Linked DNA regions of Mus musculus. The protein of the gene in region 1 interacts with the protein of each later gene in a pairwise test. Links are inferred from orthologs where the notes say so. Each region holds a gene or a part of one and is shown in the gene's direction. Other genes may lie near its edges.

Region 1 (8,945 bases):
TGGACCAGCCTGGAGCTCACTGTTAACCCGGATGGCCTCTAGATTCTGTCTGCCTCCCAAGTGCTGGGGTTAAAAGTACATACCACCATGCCTATGTTTGATGGAAAATTTTGTTTTATGTTCCTCCAGAAACTACTTTAATTGCTTATTATACCCCATGAGCACCTTGAGGTAGAGCTTTGAAAAGAATAAGGAATGATGCTTGCCTCCTAAAATAATACTTCAAAATGACAGTGGCTTTTAGGCTGAGCATGGTGACACATGGTGAAATAGAGGCAGGTGGGTTTCTGTGAGTTTGGGGCTAGCTTGGTCTATATTGTGAGTTCTAAGCCACCTAAGACTACATAGAGAGACCCTGCCTCAAAAAAAAAAAAAAGAGCAAGTAGGTTTTTCTGAAACTTTAACATGATGGGCCTTGTGGTGTAAGCTTGTAATAATAGCACTTGAGAGGCTGAGGGAAAGATGAAGAGTTTTAAGTGAGGTCAGCCTGAGCTATTGCATAGGAAAACCCTGACTTTAAAAGAAGCACATATCATCTGTTAAAGTCTGAAGATTATTTGTTGTTAAAGTGTCATGAGGAAGTCCAAGCCAGATGCTGTGTGTTGTGATTCAGAGAACCTGGACTTCATTTTATCTGTTGTTGTTTTGTTTTTGTTCTTGTTTTTGTTTTTAAATACTAATTCTCTACTGCTTTGTCATGTTGATTGGCTAGGTTGAAGAGCTTAAAGAAACTGTGAAGGAAGAATTTATGCCTTGGGTTTCCCAGTATCTGGTTATGAAAAGAGTCAGTATTGAGCCAAACTTTCATAGCCTGTATTCAAACTTTCTTGATACATTGAAGAATCCTGAATTTAACAAGATGGTTCTGAATGAAACCTACAGAAACATTAAAGTAAGAAGAGTTCTTACATTTCCTTCAGCTTTAAAGTTGATCTTGCAGGTGGAACATGGGAAGGTTTGTGTTTTTCTCTGTGCTCTCTGTTAGGTGTCCATGGAGAGTGCCATAGGTTTGGTTTGGAATGATACTATTGGGCCTCATGAACATTGTAAAATCGTATTTGTGCGATTGTCATACATATGTTTGTGCTCAGAGGATAGCTTTCAGGGGCGGTTTTCAAACTCAGAATATCAGAATGTTAGTTTGGTAACTGTCACTTTTACTTGCCCAATCATCTTACTGGACCAAGAATCTAATCATTTAGACATAACCCTATGTAAGTATAGTCCCTCTTTAAAATAGGTTTTTCTGTGATAAGGAACAATACTCAGTATTTTTGTGGCATGGCATCTTGTTGACTTGTGTCTATGCATGTGTGAGTTGTGTCTATGCATGTGTGAGTGCGTGTGTGACCACTTCTTTCTTATCTTTGGAGACTAGGTACAAGTTCTCAGGTCTCTATCCTTGTTTTTAATAAATGGTCTTACAGAAAAACTCATTCTGCTGGTTGAATGTCAAGATATCTCGATTTCAGTCCTATTTGAAATAGCTTTTTGTTCTGGGATCCTATGTGGTATAAGGCCAAACTCTTATACTTGTTCCATAAAGTTCAACTATTTTATTTCTAATCTACCATTTATTTTTAAATATGAAGCTTTGTAAAGAAACAGTGCAAACCGGATGGAGATGGGGTCTTTCATTTCTGAGTAACTTGGGGCTGGCTTAGGAACTAGCACTATATTTAAACCTATGTATGGGAAATTTCCCCATTCTTGGTTACGCTGTAGTGCAAAAAGAATTCCTGGCTCCTTGTAGCACAGCTGACTGATGCCATTTTGCTGTTGCTTTATGGAGTTAAGGGACATGACTGTACAGCTTGCGTTATCTTTTCTAGGAAGGAGTTCTGTAGTCTTTGGAATTTCCTACGTACTCTGAGGCAAACAACAACCATTCATTTGTTTGCTTTCTCTGTCATGCTGGGATTCAGATTCAGGGTCTTAGACATGGTAGATCAGTATTCCACCTCGTGAGCTCTTTAAAACCTGTTTCAAAGGTAGTATCGACAGTTTGCTAATGCATGCAGTAAGATACCAATGGGATACACGGGATAGGTCTGCTTTGGGTAGGTGCTCAGAATTGATTTCTTTTAGAGAGGCCAGGGAAACTCTCAAATACGAAATTGAGAATTTCTTTTATATGCTTATTCACTTATTTATAAATTCTGTATTATCGCAGGTGCTGCTGACTTCTGATAAAGCTGCGGCCAATTTCTCAGATCGTTCTTTGCTGAAGAACTTGGGACATTGGTTAGGAATGATCACATTAGCTAAAAATAAACCCATCTTACACACAGTGAGTTTTAAGATGGATATATGTTTTGAACTTGGCTATAAGAAATGTTTTAATTGTCACTGGGATTTTATGTCTTTGACCATGTTTGAATTCTTATTTCTGTGCTCGTGGTCTCTTAGGCTCTTTTAGGATACAGAAAAGCCAGTGGGTGTGCTTTTTGTCGGGCAAGAATCAGATAATGTATGTTGGCAAATGAGCTTTTAGTGAGATATTATTCTTTTTTTTCTCTTTTTGCGCATATATATATATATTTATATTTCAAATTTCAAATGCTATCCCGAAAGTCCCCTATATCCTCCCCCCGCCCTGCTCCCCAACCCACCCACTCCCACTTCTTGGTCCTGCCGTTCCCCTGTACTGGGGCATATAAGGTTGGCAATACCAAGGGGCCTCTCTTCCCAGTGATGGCCGACTAGGCCATGAGATACTATTCTTAGGTTCTTATTTTATTTTACTTTTCCCTGAGGACTTCTGGAACAGAAGAACATCAGCTTCTCAAATGTTTTGTTTTAAAATTCTAGGACTTGGATGTGAAATCTTTGCTGTTAGAGGCTTACGTTAAAGGACAGCAAGAGTTGCTCTATGTGGTGCCCTTTGTTGCCAAAGTTCTAGAGTCCAGCATTCGCAGCCTGGTGAGTAAATGTTAGTCCTGGGGAATTGGTGAGAGGCTGCTCACACAATACCAAAAGATCAGAGCTTTATTCTTGTGCACATAGAGCTAGTTGAACAATCTTCCTTAGTTGGTCCTAGATTATTACACATTAAGTTAGGTGAAGAGGCTGAGTGGATCAGCTTTCCACTCCGTTTTGTGTTTTTCTGGAATGGGTTGTATCTAAGAATGGGGCTTTTGTCACTGTCATGTTTATTTACTTGTTGGAATAATACAGAGTAAAGGTTTGATTTAGGCTGCCTTAATATCATAGCTCTTCTTTAGGTTTTTAGACCACCAAACCCCTGGACAATGGCAATTATGAATGTATTGGCTGAGCTGCATCAGGAGCATGACTTAAAGGTAAAAGAGCTGCCTCTCTCAGAGGATTCTGGGCCTTCAGATGATTTAATGTAAAGATAGACCAGTACAGGGGGTAGGCAGTGGTCATTGCACCAGTGGATTGAATTGTAGGATATATTATGGACAGAGCTCAAATTTTCTCTTATTCTAATTAAATACTGGAATCATGCAGTTAAACCTGAAGTTTGAGATTGAGGTGCTCTGTAAGAACCTTGCATTAGACATCAATGAGCTCAAACCTGGAAACCTGCTGAAAGATAAAGATCGTCTGAAGAACTTAGATGAGCAACTCTCTGCTCCAAAGAAAGATGTCAAGCAGCCCGAAGAGCTTCCTGCCATCACAACAACAAGTAAGTGCACAAGTTCATCAGATCCTTCTCAGATGACACCACTCCTCATAAGCCACCTAGCAACCACCCCACACTGTGAGCCATCTGATTATCAAGTGTGAGCAGCATCTAAGGATAGGCTTACTAGATCGTCTCACTATCTCTTAAGATAATTTTAAGCAATTATGAGTAGATGAGTTGTTCTTATATCATAGCCTGGCTAGCTTATCTTGCAAAACATTTAAGTATCACAGTACTTGAATGACATAATAGTATACATTATTTCTTAAAATCCAGGGTTTGCCAGATCAGTCATGCCTACAAGGACAATCTTATCTGCATCAAGACAAGAGGTTTAGAGGTACAGGGCTCTAATCTTAAGAAACTAAAGGCAAGAGGATTGTGCATTTGAGGACAACTTAAGCTACATGAGTTTGAACCAGCCTGGGACCCTGTTTAAAAATCATTCCACAGACGCACAATGTGCACACAGAGAGGGAGAGACAGACAGACAGAGACGCACTGGCACTCACTAGTGAGACACACAGGCACACATACTCCCTGGTGATGGTGGGATTGCCTTTGGGAGTTGGATGTAGTTATATTAAAGGTGAGGAGTTGGTAGAATATGCCAACCAGCACCCAACACCTCTTCTCCCACCAGCCTTCTCTTGGCATCTGACAAATCCCAAATGAGCCTGGTAAAGGCTAGGTTGAGAACATGTACCCACAACACTGCCAGATATTGGAAGCTTGGCCTGCCTAATACAGGATTATCCTGAAAATGTTCCTGTGCTGTAGACATTGCCACTAATAGACCGGCTCATATGTCATACAATAGCAGAATTTCTTTTTCAAAATGGGAAAAATATGACATTAGCTGCCCCTACTCAAGAGTTGAGACATAGTTTAAATAGATAAGATCCATTTATTATCCAGCTGATTTCTTTGTTCAGTCGATAAATGTGCTTTTTATCTTTTACTTTACTTTACATGTAGCAACTTCTACAACACCAGCTACCAGTACTACGTGTACAGCCACAGTTCCACCACAGCCACAGTACAGCTACCACGACATCAATGTCTACTCTCTAGCAGGCCTGGCACCTCATATTACTCTAAACCCTACAGTGAGTGAAAACTTATCCTTCTTCTTTTAAAAGATTGACTTATGTGTTTTACCTGAATGCATGCCTGTGCACTACATGCTTGTTAGGTACCCAAGGTGATCGGAAAAGAACATCAGCTCTCCTGAAATTGGAGTTACAGGTGGTCATGCGTGAGCTACCATATTGGTTCTGGGAATCAAATCCTGATCCCTCTGCAAGAGCAGCAAGTGCTTAAACGCTGGGCCATCTCTGCAGCCCCAGAATGCTTTGACTTCTAGTTTGTGGCAGTGAACTCTTGGTTACTTACTTCCCTGTTTACCAGCTTTCCCCTGGGATATTTTTTTAAAAAGTAGGGGATCTATAATGTGTATATTACAATAGGCAAACATTTTAAGCGGTTAGGATTTCTATTTTTTACTCTTAACCCTACCCCACAGTGATTTAATTATGCCAGCAATAAAAAGAGATTCTTCTTGATGTATACTATAGTATTTTCCTTTGGCCTTCATTATCATGCCACTTTGGCCTGCTATTTAAAGCTACTTCTTTTGGCAGAATGCAGTTTGTATATATAATTTTTAAATCAAAGTCTTTACATTTAGCTTTATTTTATGTATAGGAATGTTTTGCCTGCATGCATGTATAAGCCACATGTGTGCCTGAGGCAGCAGATCTGGAAATGGAGTTATGACTATTGTGAAGCTACACAGTGGGGGTGCTGGGAACCATAGCCCAGGGACTCTGCAAGAGCAGCGAGTGCTTTTCACCAGCCAGCCGTCTGCTGATACTGCCTTCCTAACGGATAATTTAGCTATAACTTTAACTTAGAAAGTCATATGTCTATAAGCAAGTACTATTTGTTTAATGAGCTTGTTAAAATTGAAGGGGATTAAACAGATAAAAACAGATCACAGGTTATACTGACTTCTTTTCTTCCTAGGTTCTGTTTCCTGGGGCTTTGTTAGTTTTATGTGAACTCTGTGGTTTCTGTAGCATTGAAGGAGTACCAGAGTCAGATGTGACTTGTGCCTTGTTTCCTCCTTCCAGATCCCTTTATTTCAAGCTCATCCTCAGCTGAAGCAGTGTGTGCGGCAAGCAATTGAAAGAGCTGTCCAGGAGCTTGTCCATCCTGTGGTGGATCGCTCAATTAAGATTGCTATGACTACGTGCGAACAGATAGTCAGAAAGGACTTTGCCCTGGATTCTGAGGAGTCTCGAATGAGAATAGCAGCTCATCACATGATGCGGAACTTGACAGCTGGAATGGCTATGATTACTTGCAGGGAACCTTTACTGATGAGCATATCCACCAACCTCAAAAACAGCTTTGCCTCAGCCCTGCGTGTAAGCAGACTGTTTTGTGTACTATAAAATGTATTACTGGTCTGTAAGAGCTTGGGCCTGTGCTGTGTGTGTGTGTGTGTGTGTGTGTGTGTGTGTGTGTGTGTGTGTGTGTGTGTGTGTGTGTGAGAGAGAGAGAGAGAATTTGAATGAATGTGAATGAATGAATGAGAATGAGTTAGGGCAAACTCCTTAGCACTGAAGGATACTTCCAGCCTCTGGCGTCTTTTAGATTCTAAGTTGTGTTAAGGCAAAGTGTTGCGTTTGCTTCTTTTTTATGTAGTTCTGTGCTCAGTGTTACTTGTCAGATACTCAGCAGTACCCAAGAGAAGAGGACTTTTTTTTTTTTTTTTTTTAGTTTGGAGCCAGCATCTCAAACATAGATGAATTTAGATTACAGCAGTTGGACTAATAGTTTATAATATATAGTTACTTTACTTTTATCACTTCAAGTAATTTTTCATTTTGAAGTTGTGGGTATCAGATTTAAGAATTCTTGCTTCTTAACAGTTCACAAATTGTTCAGTATGTTCACCACAACCTGATGAAATGTTGAAAAGTATTTTCATCTTATATGTGAATGAATTAGGAATATTTGTAGGTTTCTGCTGGTACATAGGTAGTACCAGAATATGGAATGACCTGTTGACCATACCGCATTTCCTGTTGTACATTTTAGAATTGCTCTTTTCTTTTGTCTTGTGTTCTCAATAGACTGCATCCCCACAGCAAAGGGAAATGATGGACCAGGCTGCTGCTCAGTTAGCTCAGGACAATTGTGAATTAGCTTGTTGTTTTATTCAGAAAACTGCAGTGGAGAAAGCAGGCCCTGAGATGGACAAGAGATTGGCAACTGTAAGTGTTTAGTGTGTATCTGTAAGGTTGTGGTTTCTTTGAGTCTGAGGAAGTGTCTCATAACAAGAGCCTCAGTGACGTTTTGTATTTGTAGGAATTTGAGCTGAGGAAGCATGCCCGGCAAGAAGGACGTAGGTACTGTGATCCTGTGGTCTTAACCTACCAAGCCGAGCGGATGCCGGAGCAGATCAGGCTGAAAGTGAGAACTGAGGCTCTTGCCTCCTTGCTTCCCCTCTCTTTCTCTGTCACTGTTGCATGAACCCCTCCTAAGGACTGTGCATCTATATGCTGCTGCTGAAGGAGCATCTCTGGTAGCAGCTCACTTTCACATTTCCTAGCAAGGATAAAAAGAGTGCATGGACTACTGAAGTTGTGTTTTCCCAACTTAAATTTGCCTTTTCATATTTTCTGGTATTTATCTTTTTATTGATAGCTCCTTATTGATCCCAACAAGATGGTGAGGGTTTGATACTATTTACCCCAAGGGAGAGGAGACTTCCATGGCAGTCTCCTCTTGAGGCATTTCCTAGCGATTGTTGTTGAGACAAGGCTTCCATGTGGACCAAACTGCCTCAAACTTATAATCATCTGGTCTCTACTAAGTCCCAAGTGCCGGGGCAGGGACTGCAGACAGTGCTGTTATAGGGACTCCAGTAAGGAATTATTAATGACTGTAAGTGACACTGACTCTAACAGGAAAATGAGAAAACCTCTTCTGTGATCTGTTGGCATGAATGCTGGCATATGTTGTATTAACTGTTGTATCAGAATTCTGTGCAAGCTTATCACTTGTAGAAAATAAGTTTTAGCTGGGCATTTTAGCAGGGGGTCTGGTGGGGGTGGGGAGAAGCAAGGATCTCTTGAGTTTGAGACCAGCCTGATCTAGTGAGTTCTATTACCAGAGAGAGACTCCATCTCAACTCTTCCACCTCAAAATAAAATAATCCGTTTCTTTTGATTGTGAAGTGAATTCTACCCAAAAAAGGCTTTCTTCTTTTAAGGTTGGTGGTGTGGACCCAAAGCAGCTAGCCGTCTATGAAGAGTTTGCACGAAATGTGCCTGGCTTCTTACCTACAAATGACTTAAGTCAGCCTACAGGGTTTTTAGCTCAGCCCATGAAGGTAAATACCTCATTTGATTAACTTGTTTGTGTTGTGGAATACAATTTAATAGTGCATTGCTTTCTGCTGGGGAGCTTGTTACCGGGTAGGAAAATGGAAGCCATTGGTTACAACTGATCTTTGTTAGATCAGCATGTCAAGCAGTGTAGTGAGTCCTGGCATTAGCTTGACTACTGTTTAGTTCAAGGAAACTTAACTTTTGACTTCCCTTTCCTTTTTTAAATATTTGTTTCTTTAATTTATACTTAAATTTAATGAAAGGGAGTTTCTAAGATTGTGCAGCACATTTAATTGAAGTTGACACTACAAGGAAAACATTTTCCCATAAACCACTTGAGTTGTAGAGCTGCTATCTGCTTTGTTTCTGTTGATTTACTTTTAGAAAGAAAATAACATAAAGCACCTTTATTGAATTTGTATTCTTTTCTGGAGGCTCTTGTCTCTTTTAAAAATAATTTTAAGGTTTAGTTTTTATTAATTTCATCTCTATTATTTTCTTACTTATCCATCTCCAGTTCCTCTGGAGTCCCAGGAAAGAGAAAAAGATTGCTATAAATTGTCCTCTGACTTCCACATATGCATCCATATTCCGCTGAATTTAATGAGGGCAGCCTTCATCGGCATGGGTATAGGTGGGGTTTTTCTGGATCCTAGAAGCTTAACATAAGCTACACCCCAAAAACATATTTGTACCCTTGTTTAAATAATTCCCTGAGCCTTAGAGGAAGTGTTCAGGGCAAAGTTCAACAGTTACTCATTCTCAGCTCCTTGACCAGTCTTCTCTGTTAACCATTGGAAAACAAGCTTTTGCAACGTAGGTTGAGAGGAGTATTAAGAGTATAAAGATGCATATTTAGAAGACAGTTCGACAACATGTCCACTTAGCGA
Region 2 (8,945 bases), on another chromosome or scaffold:
GCTTCACTGAGCCAAAACAGTTAAAAAGGTAGGGAAACAGCGTTCACTCTCACGTCACTCAAGTGGAGGCAGGATGTCAATCAGAAGACTAAACCACCAACCAAAGAGTACACATGGAGGGACCCATGGCTCCAGCTGCATGTGTAGCAGAGGATGGCCTTGTTGGACATGAATGGGAGGAGAGGTCCTGAGAAGGCTCGATGCCTCAGGATAGGGGAACGCTAGGACAGGAAAACAGGAGTGGGTGTTTGGTGAGCAGGGGGAGGGAGGATGGAATAGGGGGTTTTCGGAGGGAAATCCAGGAAAGGGGATAACATTTGAAATGTAAATAAAGAAAATATCTATTAAAAAAAAGAAAAAATATTTTGATTAAAAAAAAAGGGATGGATCTACAGTAATAGCTTACTAAAAAGAAAAAGCGCTTAATTGGCAGCATACTCTGTGATCAAAATGGTTTAAAACAAACAAAAACTGCTTTGGAGGTTCATGCTAGAGTTACTGATACCCTGATGTGAGACAGGATCAATCCTTGTATGTAGCCTTGCTGTCCTGGAACTCAGCGCAGCCCTCCTGCTTTTCCCTTTTGATGGCCTATGGGTGTGTGCCAGCATATCATGGTGTGGGTTCTCATCACCACTCCAGGTCTCACTAGTTGCTTCTCTTGACCTCTTGGTCTCAGAAAATCCTCTGGGCTTCAGGTTCTCAAGTCTTTGTGACCACAGGCAGGCACCATATTTAGTGTTTCTTGAATTAATATTTTCCATTTTGTTCATTGCTACTGATAAACTGTAAACTGATATAAGCAACAATACTTATAAGAACAAATTTCTAAGTTCAGGAAAAAGGAAAAATTGTCATTACCTGGACACAGTTCTTTCAAGTACAGAGTTGGTTCCATTCTTACAGACTTTTAAACAGGTATGCCCTTCTTTTATGTTGCTTCTCTGGAATCCACTTGTTATTTTTTTCTGAATTGAAAATAACTGATACAAGCAGCTTTCTCTTTTAACTTGCACAATTGTGGTAGAAAGCTAATTAGTAGTACTACACTTATTAGTCTTTGCTTTAATTCTGTGCAGATTTGATTTTATCTTATCAATAATACTTTCATCAAGCTCAGCCTTTAATTTCTTAAACTCCTAGCTGCCTTCTGAGAGGACATTAATAAGGGCTTGTTGATTGTCAATTATACGTTTGCTTTTTTGGTTTGATTTGGTTTGGTTTGGTTTGGTTTGGTTTCGGTCTCATCAATCCTTTTATTCTTTTTTGTTTTTTAGTTATAAAGTTCTAATGTTTTTCCTATTAGAAAAGCATGTATTCATTTCTACAAGTTCAAAAATAGAAGAACACTTAAAGAGGAAGCAAACTGTCTCTGACCCTATGAATAAATAACACATACTATTTGCATGCATTTCTTGTGAGTCACTTCTTTAGGATTTTCATTCCTTCATACATAGTTCTAGAAAGCTGTAATTTGCAGTATGTGTCTGTAGTGCAATATAAATAGATGCAGTCTTTTAATTCAAGCCAAGTTTATATATACAGGGCTTATTATATAGAGAAAGAGTTAGATAGTAATTTTCCAGCTTGTTCTTTTTAAAACCTTAATAAAGAATAGATCTCTAAGTCAGCTTAAACAAACTTACTAAATTGATGTGTCTTTCTTTCTTTGTTTTTTAAAAGCCAGGTTTTCATACTATAGCCCTATAGCAGCATTCCTGTATCATCCCTGCCTCTACTTACTCATGCTGGGATTATAAGTATTCCCAGCTTTATTGCTTCATCTAACAATTAATCAGCTCCCCTTTGGTGGATGCTATATTGGCAGTATTTTGCTCTGATATAATGATTGCTGAACATAATATATTTGGTATATGTAAGTATTTATGTAGAAGAGCTTCTTTCATAGGCAGTATATTAAATTTAAAAAGGCCTTTATCTACTTGCTGTCCTTCTGTCTGTCTGTCTGTCTGTCTGTCTGTCTACTTTTAAAGATTTCATATGTGCTTGGTGCCCTCAAAGCCAGAAGAAGGTATTGGATCCTCTGGAACTGGAGTTATGGATGTTTAAGAGCTACTATGTGGGTGCTATGAACCTAACCTAGGTTACTCGTCTTTAATTTTGTTCATGTTATAAGTCAACTGTATCTTTTTATGGAATCTCATTTTGGATGAACTGGGCTTAAGTTGGGGGGAAAAACTAAACTAGTTTTCTAACATTTTAGTAGTTTACTATACCAGATAAGTGTCCAGTCAGCTTTGAGTATTACTTTATTTTATTTATTTATTTTGGCTTTTTGAGACATGTTTCTCTATGTTGTCCTGGTTGTCCTTGGAACTCTCTTGTAGACAAGACTGGCCTCAAACTCAGGCCTGAGTGCTGCGATAAAGACTTGTGCCACTACTGCACAGAGGTTTATTTTATTATAGTGTAAGTTAGAAATGTACCAATGTTTCTTACTATTTATAAAATGATTCATCCTATCTGTATCAATTAGTAGTGTGATTTCTGTTTGAAATTAACATTTTACTATTTATTCATGGGCCTATTTTCTTAGTTTTTAGTTTTTTTTGATGTTTTCTCTACTTTTGTGTAGTAAGAAGTTATAGCTTCTTCTGTTTTTGTTTTTGTTTTTGTTTTTGTTTTTGTTTTCCGAGACAGGGTTTCTCTGTATAGCCCTGACTGTCCTGGAACTCACTTTGTAGACCAGGGTGGCCTCGAACTCAGAAATCCGCCTGCCTCTGCCTCCCGAGTGCTGGGATTAAAGGTGTGCACCACAAAGACAGATGAGTATCTGATAAGGCTAATCATCATATTTTCCTTCAAAAATGACAGTTATTCTCAAGTACTCTTCAGTGTAACCTTTAGAAGCACTTTGTCATATTATGTGTGTTGTTAAAACCATTATGATGTGATTTTGATGAGGAATTACATCAACATGTAGATTAGTTTATAGCTTTTCCAGTTTGACCTGCAAATAGTGATTTCAACATACTTTTAGCATAGAATTGTTAACTGTGGTTCCATAACTTAAAGAGAATTCACATTTCACAAAACATGATTTGAATAAGAAAGACCCATTTGTTCTCTGTCTGATTTCTTACAGGCTGTTTATAGCACTTACTATAGGAATGTTTTATAAATCTATTTCCTTAGCAGTTTCTTTTTACTTGCATAGTATTACATAGTTGTAAACAGTTATGCTATGCGTGTTTAGTTTCAAACTATATTTTTCTGCCAATACCAGATGATATTAGTATGTAACTGTGATTAAACCCCATTTTTATTGGTCCCCTTTGTAAATTGTGATACATTTTGGCATATCATAGTTATGTTTCTTTACATAGGTGGGAGTATTAGCTTTTAAATGAAGGATAGTTCAGTCTGCATGGTTGTAAACTTTTTATTATTATTATTATGAAAGAGCATGAGTATGCTGGCTTGCACATGTCATGGTGTGTGTGTAGAGGTCAAAGGAAAACCTCACAGAGTTGCCTTTCCCCCGGTGTGCTCTGAGGACTGTGCTCAGGTCAGCAGGCTCTTACAGCAAGCAGTTTACCTACAGAGCCATCCCATTGATCTCAGGGTTATGCTGAAAAAACTGAAAGCTGAAGCTGCATCTTATTTTACTTATTTTTCCTAAAATGTGTTATAAGCAGTGTTTAGATCAGCATTAAATGTCTGGAAAAAGAACAGAACTGAGAACCCTTTACATCTCTCTTGCATCTGAAACTTAATAATGCCAGTTCTTTTTTTCTTGATATGCAGAAATTTTCTGAAATCTATCCATGATTTTAGCAAAAAGTTAGTATTTTTCCTGTAGTGAGTGGTATGTTTTTAAATTTCTCTTTTTGCAGGTCTTCAGAGTTCTATATTTTAGCTCTCAGTGCTGAATTACCTTCTCCCTTAAATTATTATAAACTTTTGCTGCTGTCATATAAACGTGAAGATGTCTCGCAGTCCTGATGCAAAGGAAGACCCTGTGGAATGCCCTCTTTGCATGGAGCCCTTGGAAATAGATGATATTAACTTTTTCCCTTGCACCTGTGGCTACCAGATATGCCGATTTTGTTGGCATCGAATTCGCACTGATGAGAATGGGCTTTGTCCTGCATGTAGAAAAGTAAGTGCTTCAAACCCACTGTATTCTGCTTCATAGGTTTGTACTGTCCAGTATGAACTATAATTTTTTCCCCATGAGTATGAGTGATTGGTTTTAAAACAGACATCGTGTGATCTTTAAGAGCAGTGGATTGAGAGCCAAGGCCAGATGTTGCCTTTGTTGTGTTAACTAGCTATCTGGCATCTATAAAGTCATAAAGTCTCTCTGACTAAGGAGATAGACAGTCTTGAAGCTTACTGATTGAGATGATTGGTAAAGAGCTAATGAGTTTGGATATGATAACATGGAATGAGAAAACCATGGTCTGTATTCATGTGTGGGGTGACTGTGCTTTAGTTTTCTAGTACTAAATAAGAGAGGTATTTACCAGGGTTAGGAAGCAGAGGGAGCATTCTGGCACTCAGTTGACCTTTGCCCTTTTTTTATTTAGTTGTGCACCCCAGTCCGTGGGACGGCGCCATCCACATTAGGATAGGCCTTTCCTCCTCAGTCCTTTCTGGAAACACTATTAGAAGCATGCCCAGAGGTGTATCAGATTGGCATTGAAAATTAATCATCATATCACCCCTGGGATCTTTACTTCATTTTAAGTAACTGCCTTTCATTTATTGCATTATTAGTAGTACTGATAACTGATTCTTTAGTACTTATTTGTGTGGGGCATATTTTAACTTTTTACTTCCACAGAAACCCTCTGGCTAAATGTGATTCTCATTTTACAAATGAGAAGGCTAGGTCAGAATGGTCATAAGGTTTTAGAGCAGGTTGGCTGGAATTGAAAGCCTGGCACTCTGATTCCATATTCTTGTTCCCCAGTGACTCTGATATTAGCTGTAAGAAGGAAAATACTTTGTGAGAAGAAAAAGACAAAAACATAAAGAGATTGCTCATAGTTTTTTGAGGGTACAATGATAATTGTTTTATGAGTATTATTTAATCTTTACATCAATTATTAGGATTATTTGTAATTTATACATGAGAATAGTGAGGTTTAGGGACTGAGTTGTTTAAGGGCTTATGACCAGATAATAATAGAACTAAATTTGAACTCTTGAGCCAGAGTCTAAATATTTATGTTCTGTGTTTCTTCCTATTAGACTAGGAGTATATTTAAAAACAGAAAACAGGGCCAAAAAGGATATGGGCTGAAGATGTGGTTTAGTAGGTCAAGTACCTACTATGTATTCCTGAGGACCAGAGTTGGATCCTTAGCATCCATGTAAAAGACAGGAATGTTTCTATGACCCTGCACCTGAGAGTTAGGGAAGAATCCTAGAGCTTCTGGCCTGCTAGGATAGCCACTCACCAGTGAGCTTCAGATTCACTGAGAAACTCTGCCCCAAAGAAATGCTTCCACACATGTATACATACCTGCACATACAAACAAGGAGATAGCTTAATATTGTAGCACATAGTAGGATGTCCTTAAATATTTGTTGATTATAATATACAAAAGTCCATATTTTGTTGAAAGAATTACTTTGTTTGCCTTTTTATACAGCATCTTAGTAACATAATTATCAAAGAACTGTGCAAGGTGTTATGAGAATACCAAGACTGAGTAGTTGGTTTTGTTGCTGAGACATGTGTGTGAAATGTGGTCTCTGTTAAGCTTTAGTACTTTTAAGTTTTATTAAATAAAAATCTAGTTTAAAGCAGTTGAACCTGTCAGAAGAAGGGAAACTAACAATCACACACCTGCTATTCAGAATTGGATATTTATCATTTATTCAGTTTTCTATTTATTTAATGTTGACTTTATCTTGTTTGTTTTATTTATAGCCATATCCAGAAGATCCAGCAGTTTACAAACCACTTTCCCAGGAAGAATTACAAAGGATAAAGAATGAGAAAAAACAGAAACAAAATGAAAGAAAACAGAAAATCTCAGAAAATAGAAAACATTTGGCTAGTGTACGTGTTGTACAAAAAAACCTTGTGTTTGTTGTAGGTCTGTCACAGCGCCTAGCAGACCCAGAAGTAAGTCCTCTTCTGCTTTCCCTGTCAGTGCCATAGTCTTACTGTGTCTGCCCGTCTTATCTGAGAATAATAGTTGGCCCTGGTAAATTCTAAGACTCTTCTGAAAATAATAAAGTTTTGGAGAAAGTATGAATAATAATAATAATAATATTTTTTAATAATGTTTATAAACCAGTTTACAAAGCTAGGTGGTGGTGGTGCACTCATAATCCCAGCACTCGGAAGGCAGAGGCAGGTAAATCTCTGTGAGTTCGAGGCCAGCCTGGTCTACAGAGCGAGTTCCAGGGCATCCAGGGCTACACAAAGAAACCCTGTCTCAAAACAACAAGAAAAATCCAATGACCAGTTGTGATCTTAGGCGTGTCTGAATCTTTCTGTGTTTCAGTTTCCTCGTGAAACTAAGGGCTTGACCTAAAAATCCTTTTAGTGATGGTAGCTTGTGACGTGGTAATGATCCTGTCACCCTTAAGGCTGATATGAGCTGTGACTAGGTTTGGGCTTTTTTGGTTTTTGGTTTTGTTTTGTTCCCCCTTTATCCCTTTCCTGTGGCTGTGTGGACCAATTAACTGAAGACAAAGTTACTTGACCCTAATAGGAAATCTTAACCAGCTGTCCAAGTTGGTGTGTGTGTGTGTGTGTGTGTGTGTGTGTGTGTGTGTGTGTGTGTGGTCAGAAGAGGAGTTTGCAGGACTCAGTTCTCTCCTTCCACTGTGTGGCTTCTGGGGTCAAACTCAGGTCAGCAGGTCCAAGAGTGAGTGCCTTTAGTAGCTGAGCGATCTCAGTGCTCCCCAAGTAGTAACTCTTGTTCATTCAGAACTGCTGTTCTGTGTTATCATTCTTTACTGTTGTCATTCTAAGCTAAATTTAGGGAAAGAAGGAGAATTTGACTAAGTGTAACGAGAGACCAAGTCCTTTGTGGTCCAGTCCCTAATTAGTGGCTCTTAACCTTTCTCTTTCCTCCTTCAGTTAGGCTAATCAAAGTTACTCTGAGCTCATGTTTTCTTGTAGGCTTTAAACATTCATCTGTTAATTTTTAATTCCACTGAAAGACTTACAAGATTGTTGGGAAAGAAAATTGAAGCTTGTGTCAGCTAGAATGTTTGCTTCAGTAGGAGAGCGCTGAATTTGAGGTCTTAAGATGAGTCCTGGAAGTGAGTTTGAGGTCATGCTCCTCATGATGTGAAGGACTGGCTCTGTCTATAGTAGAGCACTCTCTGCACTCTCTTAGGCCATTTCCAGCAGCTTCTTACTAACTGTGGCACATACCTGGCTGGGTAGTGGAGTGCACTTAACACAAGGGTTATTTTTGTTTACAGTTTCTGTCTGAGGTTTTAGTCCATTGTTAGCTAGCTCTATTGCTATGGGCCTAAGGTTAGATAGGTCATCCTGCCAGAAACTGAGTATGACAGAGGGGGATACTCATCTCATGTGGCGAAAAGGCAGAAAGAGGGACAAAGTAAGGCTGGGAACAAGATACCTTTCAAAGGTACATCTCAGAGACCCACTTCATCTGCATGGGACCCACTTCAAATAGCTTGCACTGCCTCCCAGGTCATAGTTTTCATATCTACTGCAGGCCAGGCCTTCAATATATCATCTTCTGGGGGATAACTTCATATCTAACCATAACTGAACCTACTGTCTCTTTTTGTAAAGACTAGAAAACTATATATTCACTGATTGATGAGTTTGTACTAAGGCTTTAAAATTCGTCTGACTCAACAGAGAATCTTAGGGAGCTGTTACTTGGAACAGCCTCATGAGCATTAGAACTGGATGCAGCTCAGTAATTACTAGGATCTGGATCAGCATGATGCCCCAAGAGTGAGAGTGGTTGCTGTGGAAGTCTTATGACCTGGCCTCAGTCCCTGGAGCCCATGGAGTCGTAGAAGGAGAGCATTAACTCTGCCAAGCTGTCCTCTGACCTCCACGCACGTTCCATGGTACACATCCACTCCTCTTTCCTGCTCTCTGCCGTTACCACACACCTAGGATTCTAGGTCCAGGGAATGTGCTGTGTTTTATGTCACAGTCAAGAGACCCGCTTCTTTGCAAAGGGGTTGGTCAAGTACTCATACCTGTAATCTGGACATTCAGGATATTAAAGCAGGAGGGGCATGGGTTTGAGTCTAACTTGGCTACTTAGTGAGTGCCAAGACATCCTGAGCTAAAGAAGTAAGATCCTGTCACAAGGAACAAAAATAAAAAATTTTAAACAGAAAAGTAAATATTAAGGAAAGAGTTCATTTTAGACTCACGATATCACTTCAGCAGTCACTTCTTCCCTTTTGTTTGTAAGCTTCCATTTTTCTGCTTTCTTCAGGCAGACAGAATCCCACCTCTTCTGTGACCACTTCCCTTGAACACGCTAAAACTTTGCTCTAACTTGTCTCTTTGTCCCATTCAATACTGCCTTTAGGAAAATGTTTTATTACTCTGTGTGTGTGTGTGTGTGTGCGTGTGTATGTGTGCGTGTGCGCGCGTGTGTGTGTGTGTGTGTGTGTGTGTGTGCTCGCGCACACGCTTTTGAGGGCATATACACTCAGGATGTGGAGGTGGTTCTCTCTTGCCTTTGCTCAGCTTGGCCAGTGTGCACAGCGAGAGCTCTCACCTGGGGAGCCAGTGCTTGGGCCCATTTGCATCCTTTGTTATTTTTCCCTAACTTCCTGATTACTTTGTCTTTCTGAAATTGCTACTTCAGTAACTTCTTGGGACCTCCATCTTGACTTGAGAGCTTTTGGGTGTGAATTTACCTTTTGTTTCTATATCTTTAGTTTAACTAGCTCTAGTATTGTAAACAATGTGAAGTAGATTGATTATCACATGTATTCTTTTATTAGTC

The links.
Region 2: the proteins of Cnot1 (region 1) and Cnot4 interact in a two-hybrid assay, tested with the Homo sapiens proteins (3 studies listed by BioGRID and IntAct, with this or other methods). The link is inferred for Mus musculus from reciprocal best matches to the Homo sapiens genes CNOT1 and CNOT4.

What each region holds. Positions count from the first base shown.
Region 1 is NC_000074.6:95,738,920-95,747,864, reverse strand, and holds part of Cnot1 (CCR4-NOT transcription complex subunit 1), read left to right. Parts: intron 1-712; coding exon 713-892; intron 893-1,669; exon of another isoform or gene 1,670-1,805; intron 1,806-2,173; coding exon 2,174-2,290; intron 2,291-2,811; coding exon 2,812-2,922; intron 2,923-3,224; coding exon 3,225-3,302; intron 3,303-3,474; coding exon 3,475-3,652; intron 3,653-4,630; coding exon 4,631-4,761; intron 4,762-5,787; coding exon 5,788-6,084; intron 6,085-6,795; coding exon 6,796-6,936; intron 6,937-7,030; coding exon 7,031-7,135; intron 7,136-7,937; coding exon 7,938-8,057; intron 8,058-8,945.
Region 2 is NC_000072.6:35,075,139-35,084,083, reverse strand, and holds part of Cnot4 (CCR4-NOT transcription complex subunit 4), read left to right. Parts: intron 1-3,857; 5' UTR 3,858-3,949; coding exon 3,950-4,123; intron 4,124-5,905; coding exon 5,906-6,103; intron 6,104-8,945. UniProt on the Homo sapiens protein: Has E3 ubiquitin ligase activity, promoting ubiquitination and degradation of target proteins. Involved in activation of the JAK/STAT pathway. Catalyzes ubiquitination of methylated RBM15.